Linked DNA regions of Notamacropus eugenii. The protein of the gene in region 1 binds, or shares a complex with, the protein of each later gene. Links are inferred from orthologs where the notes say so. Each region holds a gene or a part of one and is shown on either strand. Other genes may lie near its edges.

Region 1 (8,370 bases):
AAAATGAAGGAGATAATAGGTGGAGTGGGTTTTCTGATGTGAATATGAAGTATGCTGCTAGTGTCTCATTGTTAGAGCCACATTTCCACCCCCACGGCTACTTTGGTGGCCTTTCCCCTGCCCTGGAAGTTGCAGTGTCTGCAACCCTGACGTGATCTTTCCTCTTCAGGCCTTGATCAATCGAGGGGTGAATCTGGATCCCTTGGGTAAATGGTCAAAAACTGGACTGGTGGTGTATGACTCTTCTGTGCCCATTGGTGAGTAGCTTCTCCTGTTTCCCTGACCTTTTCCTACCCTTTCCTGCTTCTCTGTTTGTACAAGCATTTCCCTATTTCTAGAAAGGTACAAGGGACTTCTCTTCTCCCTCAGTGCCCTGGTCTTCTTCTAACTTGCATCGCAGATTTTTGTGTACATCTCTCACTCTTACACAAGGTTGTCAGCTCCTGTCTTTTCACGTGTAACCCCCGTGTTGTTTACATAGGTGCTTTATGTTTGTAGAATCCCACTGATGCAACCCTTCTCTACCTCTTTCTTGTCTTCTCAGGGGCTACTCCAGAGTACTTGGCGGGGCACTACATCCTTCAAGGCGCTTCCAGTATGCTGCCTGTCATTGCCTTGGCACCACAGGAACATGAGCGTATTTTGGATATGTGTTGTGCCCCTGGTGGCAAGACTAGCTATATAGGTAGGGAAGTGGCAGAACAGGGACATTTTCATTTAGCCTAGGAAGTGCACTTTGATTCAGTATTCTGTCTTTGGGGGTAAGGTGAGCCCATGGGTGCCTGGGACTAGTTTGCCAGCCAGAAAATATTTCAGTAAAAGTGAAAATCCAACCCACAGTGTTAATATTTATTTTACTATAGGGGTGGTAAGTGGGAACACAGTCATCTAAGATGTTGAGTTGAGAAATATTGGATGACTCTGTGTGGCGTTAAACAGCGAGATGCTAGGCTTTAACTTAGTGAGTTACTGCGTAGAGCTAGTAACAAGGTGAGCAGGGCAGGTAGTTGGTGTAGGGAGAGGGGTACAAACTGAAGGGTGATGGCCTTTCACCTACTACAGCCCAACTGATGAAGAACACAGGAGTGATCCTTGCCAATGATGCTAATGCTGATCGCCTCAAGAGTGTTGTCGGCAATCTGCACCGGTTGGGGGTCACCAACACAATCATCAGCCATGATGATGGACGTCATTTCCCTAAGGTTAGACTTAGAGCTGCCATTGTTTCTTGTCTTATATTTCCCAATCTCTTCACTACCACCACCACCCTCTCCCACTAGCACCTTTCCAGGCATCTATATTTAACTTTGGTAGTAAATACATCTTGTGTCTATAGGAGCTCAGGGTGTGAAGCCATTTTGAATAGGGAGAAGTTCCTTTGACCACCTCTTCATCTTCTTTCTGCCCAGGTAGTAGGAGGCTTTGATCGGGTGCTGCTTGATGCCCCGTGTAGTGGCACTGGTATCATCTCTAAGGACCCATCTGTGAAGACCAACAAGGTGATGAGGAGGAGGAAAAAGGGGCAGGGTAGACATTTTGGAGGGAGGAGGGTATCGGCCTGGAAGGGGAGGAATCTGGCATGGGAAATGTCATCTTAGGCATGGTAACTGATTTAGGGAGGATAGTCTGTTTAAACACTATAACTTTTTCTTCCTCCTATTTTCTGAAAAGGATGAGAAAGACATCAAGAGATGTGCCCATATCCAAAAGGAATTGCTCCTGAGTGCTATTGATTCTGTTAATGCTACTTCCAAAACTGGAGGCTACATTGTCTACTGCACTTGCTCCATTACGGTAAGGCTTCTGTTGGAGTGTGGGCAGAAGAGGAGGGGGATACTTATTTCTTGAGACTCTTTCAGCTAAGACTTTCTCCTATTCTTTCCTCTTATCCCTGATGTCATCTTACCCCTCAGGTAGAAGAAAATGAATTGGTGGTAGAGTATGCCCTGAAGAAGAGGAATGTGCGGCTGGTGCCAACGGGGCTGGACTTTGGCCAGGAGGGCTTTACCCATTTCAGAGAACATCGATTCCATCCCACCCTCCGATCTACCCGACGTTTCTATCCCCATACACACAATATGGATGGCTTCTTCATTGCCAAGTTCAAGAAGTTTTCCAATGCTATACCTCAGTCTAAGAAAAGTAAGAAATCTCTGTCTCTCATTTGTTCAAGTTCTCTCTGCCCACAGAGTTATGACCCATTTCCCTGTGTCTCTTACTAGGAAACCTCCCCTGTATGCATTCTACTCCCTGTCCTTTTTGATTGAAAAAATTCTTCTTGGTGTGCTTTATTCTTAATAATTTCTATAATAGTGCTTTAGGTGATAAAAGGTAGGGGTTTAAAGGTATCACCATTTTAGTCAGGAAACTAAGGCTCAAGAATGGTTAAATGTTTTCCTCACATTCATACAGCTAGAAAAGATTCAAAACTAGACCAGAAGATGTGTGGAGTTAAACAGTGAGATGCTAGGCTTTACCTTGGTGGATTACTGAGTAGAACTAGCATAGTCTGATCATCTAGAGCAGACTCCTAGATTAGTGCCTTTCAAGGTAGGAATCTCAAACAGAATGGAATTTTACTTCTCCCCCTTCCCAAACCAGATGGCTGTACTTGTCTTGTTTACATTGAATCACAAGAGTGAGATTTGTGTTTCCCTTCTCTTCTGGGTTGTCTTTTTTTTTTTTTTTACTGGATAAATGGGCACTTGTGGCTGACAGCTGTCTGCAGGAGGCAGGCCCATCTATTTTTGAGAATATCTAAATTCTGAAGAGATAAGGGCAAGACCTGAGATTTACATTGGTCAAGGGGAACTGTGGAATAAGGAAACTCCCTCTTCCATCTCTGCCTCTCGTGGTCCAAGAGAGTTGCCTAGTGAACTTTCTACGCCTTAAATCATGTTGTCTCTGATTTATTCATGATACTTTGAAATCATTATTTTCTTGAACATTTTGACAAGGAGGCCCAGCTCTCAGGAGGAAAGATAGTATCTTCAAAAGCCAGGTCATTGGTTTGAATACTGAGAAATGTCCCAGGAGGTCCAAAAACTTATGGGAGTTTATTTTTTTTTTTTTAGATCATTTTAGTCCCCTTTGCAAAAAGTCATTGCAGTACAGAAGGAAACATAAAGGAGGGTACAGATAGTACTATTTATGGTGGCTTAAGGGAATAGGTCTAAAATGTCATGCTTCAGTTACCTGCGTTGTTGACTCCTTTGTTGTACTTCGCTTCAAACTGGCCTATGTTGGTTTTTCCTACTTTATCAATCTAATGTCCTGTAACCATTTCACTCCAATCCAGGTGATGCAGCAGCTGACCCCCCAGACTCCAGACCCACTGACAGGCCTTCTGCAGCTAAAGCCAAGGTGGTGCCCCAACCTAAAATCAGTCCTAAGCTTGTCAAGAAGACCAAGCAAGCTGGAAAGACAAAGGTGAAGCTAGAGACCAAGAAGGGAAAAATGCATCGGGAAGCTGGGGAGGCAGAGGTGAAGCAACAGCAGCCGCCCCCTAAGAAGACTGTTTTTCAGAATGGGAAGCCTGTCCACAGGGGTCCTCGGCCACCTACTGCAAGGACTCCTAGTTCCAGCGGGCCCCCACCTAGGAAGAAGCAGAAATCTCAGTCCTGACACAGTAGCCACTGTGGGGTCTTGAACTACCAGACTGGTGTGACTGTGAGCTTCTTTGAGGAGCTTGGCCTCACCTCTGTCTGACGTAGACACAGTCCAATTAACCTTCCCCTGCCCCTTCCCCTTGTATACACATAAATGTACCCATCCCCACCTCTGGCTGCAGTGTGAGGCTCCTCATTGGTTTGGTTTGTGCGTTGTCCTGCCCGCGCCTTCGGGGGTGGGGTGGTGGGAGTGGCCGAGGTTGGGTGGTCACTTCACCTCCGGGGTGGTGGCGGGAGCTTTGTAAAGGAAAGCCCCCTCCTTAGGGACGGGGCGCTGCCCACGCCAGTGTCTGCGCTAGTCTGGCCGGTCTCCAGCTTTGCTCCTGGGCCTGGGCTTTCCCAGAGGCTGCCTCGGAGCGGCGCGGGGCTACCACAGACGGGCGCCGGGTGGCTTGGGCCGTGCGGGCCCCTGCACGCCAGCCTTGGCAAAAAAGCTCCCTCCCCACTAGCGGTCTGAGTCTGCTGCCCGCACTCGGGCCGGTCTCCTCCTCCGGTCGGCCTGACGCTCACTTGGGTTGCCCCGCCCGCCCTTTCATTGGCTCGCTCCGTGGCCCCGCCCCTATCCTGTCTTCTCATTGGCTCCCTGTCCGGGCCGGCTCCCCGCCCCGCGCCGGTCTCCATCTCGAGGCGGAGAAGCGGTGCGGCCATGAACCCGTTATTCGGCCCCAATCTTTTCCTCCTCCAGCAAGAGCAGCAGGGTCTGGCTGGGCCGCTCGGGGGACCCTCGCTGGGGGGCGGCGACTACCTGGGCGGGGGAGGGGAGCTGCCTGCGGGCCCTGCGGCGGCGGCGGCCCCCCCGGGCATCCCCCCGTGGGAGCCGCTGGCACTGGCCGGCCCGGGCCCGGCGCCCTCGCCGCCGCCCGCCGCCATGGCCCTCCGCAACGACCTGGGCTCTAACATCAACGTGCTCAAGACGCTCAACCTGCGCTTCCGCTGCTTCCTGGCCAAGGTGCACGAGCTGGAGCGGCGCAACCGGCTGCTGGAGAAGCAGCTGCAGCAGGCGCTGGAAGATGGGCCGCAGGGCCGGCGGGGTCCGGGGCGCCGCGACCAGGCCGTGCAGACCGGCTTCATCAGCCCCATCCGGCCCCCGGGGCTGCCCCTCGGGGCCTGGCCCGCCTCGCGAGGCCCGCTGGCGCCCACAGCTTCGGGTCTCTCGTCGTCTCCCGCCAGCGCGCTCGCCCCAGCCCCGGCGTCTGTCCCGTCCCACTCCGCGGCCACATCCACCCCCTACTCCTCGTCGGCCCGCTTCATGCCCGGCACCATCTGGTCCTTCTCGCACGCCCGCAGGCTCGGGCCGGGACTGGAGCCCACCTTGGTGCAGGGGCCTGGCCTGTCGTGGGTGCACCCCGACGGCGTGGGGGTGCAGATCGACACCATCACACCCGAGATCCGGGCCCTCTATAACGTACTGGCCAAGGTGAAGCGGGAGCGGGACGAGTACAAGCGGAGGTGAGGCTGGGGGAGGTGGGGCCGGGCCGACGGGTGGGCCCTGGGCTCGGGGCACCGCGGCATTGGCATTGAGGGGTTCCAACCAGAGGACTTTAGAGAAAACAATGAAAGTTTCGGGGTGAGGGTGGCGTGAGGGGAGTCCAGGGAGATGTGGACCAGGGAGAGGCAGCCAGGTCTCCCTCCCCCCAAAAGAAGAGATCTTTCCAGAATCCGGAGGACTCAGGGAGCAGCCCCAATTTCAGGAAGGTCGTACAGGGAAGAAAGTCATGTCAGGAGGGAAGTTATGTGTGAGAAGCTTAATTTTTTTCCTTGTCTTTACTTCCCCTCCCCTTCATGTTGCAGTGTTTAGAGGGTTACCCTAACTGGGATCTTAACTGGGTGTGACTAGGGAGATGAGCCAGGGAAATGTTTGTGTGGGGTTTTCTTTTTCCCCTTATCAGTCTTTTTGGTTATTCTTGTGAGCAACTTGGGGAAAAGTACTTTGTGTTCAGGGGACAAAAGTTAATGGCATAAGAGATCTGCCTTATCTTGCAGGCTATAAATGTTATCATTTGGGAAGGTGGATGTGGGGGGATGTGGATGTATTTCCCAAAGAGGGGTCTGAGGATACTGGGACACCTGCCAGCTGGGTTCCCATGTGGTAGGTCTACACGGCCAGAGGAAACTTTTAAACAAGGATCAACCAAGGATCAACCAAGGTGGGGTAAGTAATAGGGATTATAAGGAATATTCCCTCCTGAAAGAACAGATTTGTTATGGGGGAAATAGAGGCTTTGCCTGGAGAGAGACAAACATTGAAGCTGAAGAAAGGGCCAAGTTAGAAAAAGTTGGTAAGATTCCATGTGGACACACCCTATGAGCATAGAGAAATGAAGTCAGGGGTGGGAGTGTCAGATGAGGGTCATACAAGTTGGGAAGATGCCCATAGAACCCCATAACCTGATTCTCTCAAAAGAACAAAACCAGAAACCAGCAGAGGAGAAGGAAAGTAAATATGCTTAGTGCAGTGTATGGCTAAGAAGTGATGATAGTTTCAGCATTATATATCACTGGGGAAGAAAGAGATGTTGGTTGGGGGAAATTTTGTTATTTTAGGTTTCCACAGTGTTTTTACCACTAGTCGTTCCTCACATGCAGGTCAAGAATGGCCACTGTGTTGTTGTTTTTGACTTATCTCAAAGTTTAAGGTTTACAAAGAGCATTTCTGTATGGCAGGGCTTGTTGATGATTGGTGAAGTGATAGGTATGGATATCACTGAATATGTTCATGAATTTCTATTTGGGATGTGTATGACCTGAAGAAGAGCTAAGTCATAAATAGGATTTTCAGTTGGCCTGGAAAGGATCAGCTTTTTCATTGAACCCTCTTCTGCCGTTCCCCACCCTTTTGCAGATCTAGTTCTGACCTCCTATAAGGGAGGCCAGCATAGGGGAAAACCTATGCTGGATAAGTGTCCTTAGGAACTTATTCACTTTGAGATCCTAGTAAAATATAATTTAAGATTAGTATAATTGCAGTAAGTTATGGAAGAGGAGAAAAATTTTGGATGGGTCCATCCATAACCACAGGGACTATTGGTATTCTCTGGAAATGTGTGTGGGTTTGGCTTTTTTTTGAGGGTGGGAGAAGGTCCAGAGTGGTTTGTCCTTGGTCCAGATGTCTAAGGCAGCAAAGAGTTATTATCCCTTGGGGAAAGCTTCGCTCATAACACTGCAGTACCCTGACGTGCCCAGCATTGTTTGATATTTGACGTACATTCTTTTGTCCTAAACCTTCTGCCGTTTTTTGTCCTCTTTATATGAGACCTCAGAATGTTTCTCTAATTCAGGTCCCAGTCTGGGAGGCAGAGGATGCATACACGTTGAACTAATAGTTGAGGCCTCCTGGGTTCTATTTTCAGCTTTAGAATTGTGTGACCTGAGAAGGAGCTTTTCCTCTCTCTGAGCCTTAGTTGGGTTTTTTTTCCATTTTAAAATGGAGAAAATAATCCCTGCTCTTTTTTCAGCTCAGGGATCAGTAAAGCTCTCTCTGAACAGTGCTTTACACAGACCTCTTTAGAGGACAGGTGTTTAAAAAAAAAGAAGACAGGTGTTTAGAGGGAAATAGAAACTCATCACAGAGCCTAATTCTAAAACTCTACATAGGAACCCACATTGTAAATGAGAACGGGGTACACTGAAATTAATCAAAACAGTACAGGCCTTTAAAGTGCCTCTTGAGGAACAGTTGAACAAACTCCTGACACTGTGTGGCCACAGACAAGTCACTTTACCTTTCAGAATGTTAGTTTCCTTATCTAGTAACAGGGTACCAATAATACCAATAGTGTCTACTTCACGGGGTTGTGAAAGACTTGCCAAACCTTAAAGTTGCTCTACAAATGTAAGCTGCTTTTTTGATTCTTATCTCCAGACATCTCCAAAAGATGCTTCTACTACTGGTTGCTCAGGAGGGGAGCAATGTTCTGTGGTAGCAGTAATAATAGCACTTTAAGATTTGCATTGCACTTGAAAAATATTCTTTTCTTAGATGTATCAGCTTTGTGAACCAGCTGCTATCATTATTCCCTGTTTTTACAGATAAAGAAATAGAGGCCCAAAGACATTGAATGGCTTGTCCAGTGTTACAACTAGTCAAGAGTCTAATGTGGAATTTGGATTCTGGCCTTCTGATGCTGTCTAGCACTCAGTATGCCTTGGTACTTCTCTAAGAGTAAAGGGTAGAGTTATTCTGTGTGACTGCTCCAGAGATAAAACCAGTGGGTAGAAATTGTAGGGACCTAAATATGGGCACACATAAAGTAGAACTTTCTAATAATGTGTTCCTCATCATATAAAGGGTTCCTCTCTGTCTGGATTGTTGTAGAGGGGATTCATGAAGGGAATGGAAGCTTGGATTAAAAGTCCAAGGCCCTTTCCAGCTCCAAGAATTGTTTCAGTAACTATGATCATGGGACCACACCCAGAGTGTACCCACCTTAATGAATTCTTCAATATGGCAAATAGCGCTTAGTCAGATATCAGGATATTTATGCTCAGACTCCTTTGCCATGTTAAGGACTTCCTCTAACTCTGTAATTAGGTTCCTCAATTTAGTTTCCTTCCAAATTTGGTAGGATTCATACCAAAATAATGCTTTCTATTCTCTCTCATGTATCTTGCTCAAATTATCTTGTTAATCTTTGCCTTCCCCCATTCCAAAGCAAATCTACTTGTATCCCTGATAAAAGAAACTCAGCAGCCACACTTTACC
Region 2 (8,524 bases), on another chromosome or scaffold:
TTGTTTTAGTACAGTAAGAGCAGGAGAATAGCATCCTTGGCATTACTTTATGCTACAGACAAAGCGTTACAAAGTCAGTGGTAGTTCATTTGACGCTGCATATTTTGTTTAGTAACTGTAGAGTTAGTCTTTATTATAGCTACGTGTTGAACTATTAGAGATGGGGCCAACCTCAGATTTGCATTCAACACTTCTATGTGAAAAATAGTCAGAAGCTAAAATGTGGGTCATCAAGAGGCATAGCTGATGAATTCTCCAGATTTACTGGCACTGACCTATAACAGCTGCTACTTAAAGGGGCAGTTATATACTGTTATATACATCTCGATTCTCAGTGAGCGTGAAGGTGGAAAAAAGATAGGAAGAGGAGAAATATCTCTTTTGTAGGGCGTATTAAAAAAAGATGTTTTTGCAAATGCTGAGATAATTCAGGGTTTTGTTTTGGTTTTTTTTTTAAAGAAATACATAGAAGGACTATGAAGAATAGTCTGTAAAAGGATGGGCAGGGTTATAAATTCTTAAAAAAAAAAATCTAGTAAAATCCAGTGCTTCTTAACTCTGCTTTTCCAACAGTCCAGGATATCTCCAAATTATCTGGGAAATCAAAATATGTACACACACAGTACAGTGTAAAAAGATACAGTTTTGGAGTAAGGAGAGACTTGGATAAGAATTCTACCTCTGATACTTATTAACTGTATGACATTGAGCTTTATGAAATGACCCTTTTCTGCCCTGGGCCTTAAGATTCATCGCAAAATAAAATGAGGGGGTTAGTGGTACCTTAGGTCATCCCCTTCACTTTTAAATTTATGGTCCTATAAACCTCTCTGTACCTCAGCTCTGTCATCTGTAAAGTGAGGAAAATAATTACAGTTATTTCTTCATCTGAGGAAGACCTATGAAAAGTCTTCAGGTGCTATATAACGGTCACTGAACCCTTGAGAACAGGGATCCTCTTTATATCCCTAGAACAGAGAAAGAAAATGGGGATCTTTAAATAAAATCAAATGATTGCACAATGTCAACCCAAATTGGGAATCACGGCTTTGGATCATACTGTTTCTCAAAATGTGGCCTGAAGGAATTAGCTATGTTGGCACATGGTCTAGTCAGTCAATTAATCACTAAGTAAGTTATTATGAACCTCTTATGTGCTCAACACTGTGGCAGACAATGGGAAATCAAAACCAAAATTCAAAAGTCCCTGTCCTCCAGGAACTTACATTCTAACATTATTAACAATTTTTAGTTTTGGTCTGAATACTTTTACTTAGACTTTTTAATCACACTAATCAAAAGCAACAAAGGTTATTAATTCTGGTGAAGTTTTTATTGTTGTGGCAAATGCATTAGCTGTATGTGGCTTCTTAAGGCTTAGTTAAAGAGTTTTAAGCTCCTTTAAGCCTATGGCTATGTTTATATTAGAACTGCCAAATACATAAAACTTTCTTTTCCTCTACATTAATGTACTTCTGTCTTCTTATTAAGTGGGTGTGTCCTCTGCTATAACATAAACTTTTGTAGCTGAGACTCTCAGAAAAGAAATTCAACTTCACAGGATGTAGTATTCCATTTTTGATTCATTTCTAGAATTAAGCTCTTTTTTGAACTATTTCCTAAACTCATAACATTAATTATCTCTAGGTTACCTAAGGAATGTGTCTGGGTTAAACTCAAGAAGATGCCTAGACACTGATTCAGTCTTGAGGAATGACTACATGAGCCCATTTGGAAGCCTCCTTATTTGAACCTCTCCAAATGCACTCCTACCTAATTTGGACAATCCCATGCTAATGGAAAAAAAAAATAAAGACTAACAGCTTGACTGAGGTTTCCATTATCTACCTGGATCTTACTACTATATTTTTTTATATGACAGCAAAAAAAAAAAAAATCACTAAGGCAAAATTATATTTTAACTGTAATCACATATTTTTATTAAGCACATGGATCTTAAAAGTTGACAAGCAGAGAAGCAGCCTTATTTGGTTTAAGTAACATCAAATTTAGATATAATTTACGTAATTCTTTCAGATTATGACACTAAACTAATGTAAATAGAAGTACAATCTTTACCCACTATGAAAAGAGCCAAAAGACAAAACTTCTACTTGCATATGAATGTGGAATTAAAGAGTAATTGTTTCCTAGTTAAAAAAGTATATATATATATATTTGTAAGAAAATGAGTTAATAGAGGACTTCAAGATAAGATAGTATGAAAGGTTGCAGGAGGAGTCCAGCTCTTCCACATATATTCCAGCAATGATGTAAAAAAAGGCAGCAGACTAAATGATGACATAAAAATTCAAAAAGAAACATCGGTAACCTCCTTCATCCAGTCTAAGACTGTACAAAAAGATAGTGGGATGTATGACTAAGAAAAACAGCATGAATTCAGATGAAAAGGCCTGAAACTTGGGGCACAGAAGGTCTGACGCGACTGGAACAAAAAAGATCTAAAATTTAAAGGGATATAATGAAAAAAAATGGAAAGGAAGAAGCTTAACTGTACTAGGTCATCAAGACGATTTGGTAATGGCTAAAAACAACAAAAGTTGATCAGTGGGACAGACAGGAACACAAGACAAAAACAATCATAATAGTTTACTGTTTAATAAACCCAAAGATTTCAACTCCTAAAGTGAGGATGCATTCACTATCTGACAAAAATTGCTGGGAAAATTGGAAAGCAGTCTGGCAGAAATTAGGTTGAAAACAATATATTACACCAAACAATACATTAAACTCCAATTAGTTATAAGACCTAGAAATACAAAGTCATATCATAAGCAAATTGGGGCAAATGGAAGAAAATTCCATTCACAAACATGGAAAAGGAGAAGAGTTCTTGACTCAATGAAGGACAGAGAGGATCACATGTAATAAAATGGACATTTCTGATTTCACAGAATTAAAGTCTTTGTACAAAATTAATGCAGCAAAAATTAAGAGGGAAAGAATGCAAAAAAATTGCCAGATATTTCTCTGACAAAGGTGTAATATTCAAGATATACAAAGAATTGATTCTAGTATACAACAACAAAATACATTTCCAAACTGACATATTGTTAAAGGATATGAAAAGGCAAAACAATAAAATCAAGTTATTAATTAACTATATAAAATATTCGAAATAATTAGAGAAAAGCAAATTAAAATAATTCTGAGGTGCCACCTCATAAAAATCAGACTGACAAATAATGAGAAAACAGGGAAATGACACAGTTGAGGAGCCAGGGAAGGATAGGAAAACTAACACACTGCTGACTATGAATTGCTTGAACAATTCTAAAAGGCAGATTAAAATCACTCAAGCCACTAAAACTGGAACTCTAATACTAAACAAAATATATACAAAATATTCCTAGCAATGCTTCATTGTGGCAAAAAATGGAAACTAAGTTCCTGTAAACTGTGAAATGGTTGAACAATTATGCTATATGTAACTGAACATTCCACGTTCTGAAGAAATGATGAAAGGGATGGATTCAGAGAAACCTGAGAAAGCTATTATGAACTGACACAGAGCACAGTGAGCACTAGGTCAATTTATACAATGACCATTACACCACTGTAAGCAAAATAGCTTTTGAAGCATTTATTAACTCTCTTCAATTCAATACCCATCTACCATACGACTCCACAAGGCAGATTTCCCATCTCTTCACAGAACTGACTAGAAGTGCATATTCAGGGATGGTCAATGTGTGGATTTCTTTTTACCTGATTATGCTAACTTGTTATATAACAAGATATTTGTTTGTTTGCTCCGTGGGGGAGAGAATGAGAATGGTAATAGCAATGTCAAAAAATACAAGAGCACAAGAGAAGCACTGAAAGAAAATGCAAAGAGGTTCAGAGAAACACCGACAAGCAAAGCAGCTTTGGAACATGCTGAATTAAAGAAAAACAAACAAGTGATTCATAACGATATTCAAAGCTTCATATACAATTCTATTTCTTTCTTAAGCTGTGTCAAGTTTAGAATTGCAATTTTTTAAAAAAAAGTCAACCACTAGACAACTTCCCAGAGCTACCTTTAAATCTGTTAGAGGATCAAGTTTATTTATCATCACAGAGAATCTTAACCTACAATAGTGTATCTAGCAATGTAAAATCTGGGTAGAAAAAAATAGTCAGGACTCACTATTTAGCTATTAAACTGGAAATGCTGAACTTCTACCCAAGGTACGGTACTGGCTGGAGTCAGGACAACTTTTCAGGTTACAAGGATTGAAGCCTTCTTTTGTAAATATGTTGGCTTTAAAAAACAAACAAAGATTTCATTGGCTGAACAGGGAATTAATTTCTAGTAAGGAAACTCCCTCTGCCAATCTAGAGCAGTACCAGCTATGTAATTTACGGTATTTTTCAGTTCCTTTGGAGACACCGGGGGTCACACATCCAGTGGGAGTCAGAGATGGGGCAAATACACAGCAAAATCTTTTGGTGTTTAATCTAACTGACAAATACTACGTATAAGAAGCTTCATATGAGATCCTCCCACCACTCAAATACTTGTTATGCCTTCATCGGTTCAAGATTTATTTTGACGTCACTTCCAGATGAGGCGTCCCCTAAGGAGGCTTCACCTTTTACGTAAGCAGGTTTGGGGGGCAGGCAGGCAAGGTCACTTCAGTGACGGACACCTTGGGGGTGCACCACTGCCTGTGGGGGGATGGTACAAACAAATAGCTCTTTCAGCCCGCGCTGGGGCCTGAAAAGTCTTCCCTAGACGGTGCCCGGGTGAGGACGGGAAAGGAAAACCGGCAGAGAAAACCCGGGAGCCTAAAGCCCCGAAGACAAACCGCGCCACGATCGGGCCTCTCCCACCGGGCCGGGGACGCTCTCAGCGGCTATTTTTAAAGGCCTCCGCGGGCGGGGGGCATCTCTGGGCAGCGCCGGGCCCCGCGCTCCGCCGGCGCTCTGGGACGCCGGTAGCCGGGCGCGGGGGGCTTCTCCTCGTCCTTCTCCTCCCCGCCCCCCTCCCCGTCTCTCGGCCCTCTCTTTTCTACCCTTTCCAGAAACCCTTCGTTCGGGGGTTCGGGGAGGGGCACCTCGCTGCCTCCCCTCGCGGGTCTCCCCGTCTGCGCACCGGAGCCCGCCCCGGGTCCCGTCACCCCCGTGCCTCGGGGCCACCCCCTGCCCACCGCCCGCACCAAGTCAGCCCCGAGCGCCGGGTCTTACCATAGTGAGACCTCCGCTACCCCCAGCCACATCACCCTTCCGGGGCAACGGGCGGAAGAGGCGTTGGGCCCCGCCCCCTCCGTCTGGCCTCGTTCCCCACGCTTCCCGATGATTGGTCCGAGGTAGGAAAGCGCTTCACGCGCTGCGAGGCTGCGGCGGCGCGGTTGGTCGAGAATGGAGGGGAGGGGCCGCTCGGGTAGTGACGCCATGGGAGAAGGGCCCTTCTGATTGGCCGCGGCTCTTTCTGCCTCGGGAGCGGGCCTTTTGGAGGAAGCCGGAAGTGGAGGCTCTGAACGAGGTAGGGCCCGGAAGCGGGGGTGTCCCAGCGAGCCTGGTCTTTGCTGATCGCCGTCGGGTTTGGACTCCCGGGGGCTGCCCCAGTTTATTTCCCCAGTCCCTCCAGCTCCTTCTCGAGCTGGCTTCCCATTCTTCGCTGCCCCTCCCTCTGCTTCGGAAAGCGTCAGCAGCCCCAGTCTTCTCCGGGCCTGGGCAGAGTCCTTTCCCCTTATTCCCCTGGGCTGGCCTCATTCTTCCCTCCGGGCTTCGGAATCCAGGCCGGGGGGAGGGGGGCGGAATTAGAGAGTTTAAGGAGAGATTTAATTGGTTGAGATCCCGGTCAGGTGTGGGCGAATCGTAGGGCAGAGGAATTAAGCAATTTTTTAAGCACTTACTGTAGGCCCGTCGTTGTGGCTAAGACCCGAGATACGTAGAAACCACCCCCAAGTTCTGTGGTTCTTGCCCTGAAATAGCTCCAAGGCGCGTGTAGAAACAATATATCCATGACTACAATGTATCCATGACTAGCTACATTTAAGAGCTCTGCGGCGTGCGTGGAGAGAAATCCCAGAGGCTTGGGGCTGATGGCCCCAGGGAATGGAGATCCTGCAGAACGTTTGAGCTGCAGGACAATCTAGGGATCTAGGTGAGAAAGGAGAATATTTCCAGCGTGGGGACCGCTCGGGTGGAGACACTGAGATGGAAGGTAGGGTGTTCTGTGGGAGGAACCCCAAGAAAGCCAGCATGGCTGGATCATTCAGTTCCGGGACGGTAGTGAAGTAAAGCAGAAAAGAACCGACATATGAATTGCTTTGGTTGCCAAACAGAAGACTTTATTCGATCCTACGGGTAATAGGAAGTCGAGAGAAGGGGGTGACAAATAATGTAGAAGAAGAAATGACAGGGTTTGGCAGTGGGGTGGGGACATGATTGAGAGGGATAAAGTCTAGAATGGCTTTGAGCTTGCAAACTTGAGGGACTAGGAAGCTGGTAGTGTCCTCAACAGTTATAAGGAATTTCAGAAGATGTGGATTTTAGGGGGAAAGATAACTTAGTTTTAGATACGTTGAGTTTGAGACGCCTTTAGCACATCCAGTTCAAAATGTGGAAGTGGAGCTATGGAGATAACTGAGGGCTGTATATATAGATCTGGGAATTATCTGCAAGGCTGAAAATTGAATCCATGGATGCTGATGAAGATCAACAAGTGAGATTGTATAGAGAGCTCAGGACAGAGATGTGAGGGATACCCACATTTAGTAGAAGTAAGGGACGGAAATCCAGCAAAGGAGATTGAAGAGTGAAGGAAGGAGAAGAAACAGGAGAGAGCAAGGTATGAAAACTTAGGAGAGTATGAAAAAGAAGGAAGTTACCAACAGTGTCACATGTGGTAGAGAGGTCAAGAAGGATGAAAACAGGAAAGATTAGATTTGGCAATTAAGAAATCATTGGCAACTGGAGAAAAGTTTTACTTGAATGATGTATTTGGAAGCCAGATTGCAGTGGGTTTAGAAGAGAGTGAGAATTACTTGTTCAGTGCTATGTTAACCAAACTGCCAAAAAATAATAGAGCTAGAAAAAATAATAATTCATTTGGAAGAACAAAAGGTGAAGAATATCAAGGGAATTAATGAAAAAAATGCAAAGGAAGGTGGCCTAGCCCTACCAGATATCACACCATATTATAAAGCGGTAATTATCAAAACATTTTGGTACTGGCTAAGAAATAAGAGTGGTGGATCAGTGGAACAGATTAGGTACACAGTACTATAGTAATCTAGTGTTTGATAAACCCAAGGAACTAAGCTTTTGGGGCAAGAGCTCACTATTTGACAAAAAACTGCTGGGAAAATTGAAAAGTGGTAAGGCAGAAACTAAGGATACACCAACATCTTGTATCTTTTACTAAGATAAGGTCAAAATGAGTACATGATATAGACGTAAAGAGTGTTGCCATAAACAAATTAGGAGATGAAAGAATAGTTTATCACTTCTAAGAAAAAGGGAAGAATTTATGTCCAAACATGGTAGAGAGCATTATGAGATGTAAAATGGATAATTTTGATTAGATTAAAAATATTTCTTTTGCACAAACAAAATCAGTGCAACCAAAATTAAAAGGAGTGCAGAATGATGGAAAAAAAATTTTATAGCAAGTGTATCTGATAAAGGCCTGATTTCTTCAATGTATAAAAAACTGAGTCAAAACATGTCATTCCCCAACTGATAAATGATCAAAGGATAAGAACAAGAATTTTTCAGATGAAGAAATCAGTTATCTATAGTCATATGAAAAAAGATGCTCTAAATCACTATAAATTAGAGAAATGCAAATCATAACAGCTCTGAGGTACCATCTCATATATATCGGACTGACTAACATGATAGAAAAATTATGATAAGTGTTGAAGGGAAAACCGGGACACTAATGCATTGGTGGAATTGTGAACTGATCTGCCTGTTCTGGAGAGCAATTGGGAAGTATGCCCAAAGGGCAATCAAATTGTGTATTCTCTTTGATCCAGCAATATCACTATGAAGCCTGTATCCCAAAGAGATTTAAAGAAAAGGGGTGTGGGGGGAGAAGGACTTATCTGTACAAATATTTATAGCAGCTCTTTTTGTGGTATCACAGAATTGGAGATTGAGAGGATGCCCATTAATTGGGGGTAGCTGAACAAGTTGTGGTATATAAATATAATAGAATATTATTGTGTTATAAGAAATAACAAACTAGATGATTTCAGAAACCTGGAAAGACTTACATGAATTGATGCTGAGTAAAGTGAGCAGAATCAGGAGAACATTGCACACAGTAACAGCTATATTGTACAATGATCTGTGCAACTGTGAATGACAGCTATTCTTAGCAATTTAATGATCCAAGACAATCCCAAAGGACTCATGATGAAAAGTGCTATCCACCTCCAGAGAAAGAACTGATGGAATCTGAATGTATATTGAGGCATACTATTTTTTACTTTATATTTTCATGTTTTTTTATCTGTTTTCTTTCACAACACATCTAAAATACAAATATGTTTTGCAGGATTGC

Evidence for each region.
Region 2: the proteins of non-homologous end joining factor IFFO1-like (region 1) and XRCC4 are in contact, whole or in part, in a crystal structure (PDB 6ABO), measured with the Homo sapiens proteins. The link is inferred for Notamacropus eugenii from reciprocal best matches to the Homo sapiens genes IFFO1 and XRCC4. Residues at the interface, in NP_001317253.1 of Homo sapiens: Arg469, Glu470, Tyr473, Ile477, Gln479, Ile480, Glu481, Glu483, Leu484, Ala487, Lys488, Asp490, Met491, Arg493, His494, Leu495, Tyr498, Met501, Lys505, Leu508, Asp509, Met512, Cys515, Arg516, Leu518, Ile519, Thr520, Gln521; in NP_001304941.1 of Homo sapiens: Trp155, Val158, Gln159, Phe162, Glu163, Cys165, Val166, Lys169, Glu170, Glu173, Leu176, Tyr177, Phe180, Val183, Leu184, Lys187, Lys188, Lys190, Ile191, Leu194, His195, Lys197, Leu198, Ala201, Ala202, Arg205, Glu212.

The regions. Positions count from the first base shown.
Region 1 is NC_092874.1:194,837,432-194,845,801, reverse strand, and holds the start of non-homologous end joining factor IFFO1-like, read left to right. Parts: upstream 1-4,286; 5' UTR 4,287-4,314; coding exon 4,315-5,117; intron 5,118-8,370. Other genes in the region: NOP2 (28S rRNA (cytosine(4447)-C(5))-methyltransferase), read left to right, coding at 170-257, 545-685, 1,063-1,202, 1,410-1,499, 1,672-1,794, 1,914-2,142, 3,299-3,624. UniProt on the Homo sapiens protein: Nuclear matrix protein involved in the immobilization of broken DNA ends and the suppression of chromosome translocation during DNA double-strand breaks (DSBs).
Region 2 is NC_092875.1:460,068,952-460,077,475, reverse strand, and holds the start of XRCC4 (DNA repair protein XRCC4), read left to right. Parts: upstream 1-4,472; 5' UTR 4,473-4,605; intron 4,606-5,193; coding exon of another isoform or gene 5,194-5,196; exon of another isoform or gene 5,197-5,491; intron 5,492-5,714; exon of another isoform or gene 5,715-6,175; intron 6,176-8,524. Other genes in the region: TMEM167A (protein kish-A), read right to left, coding at 5,194-5,196.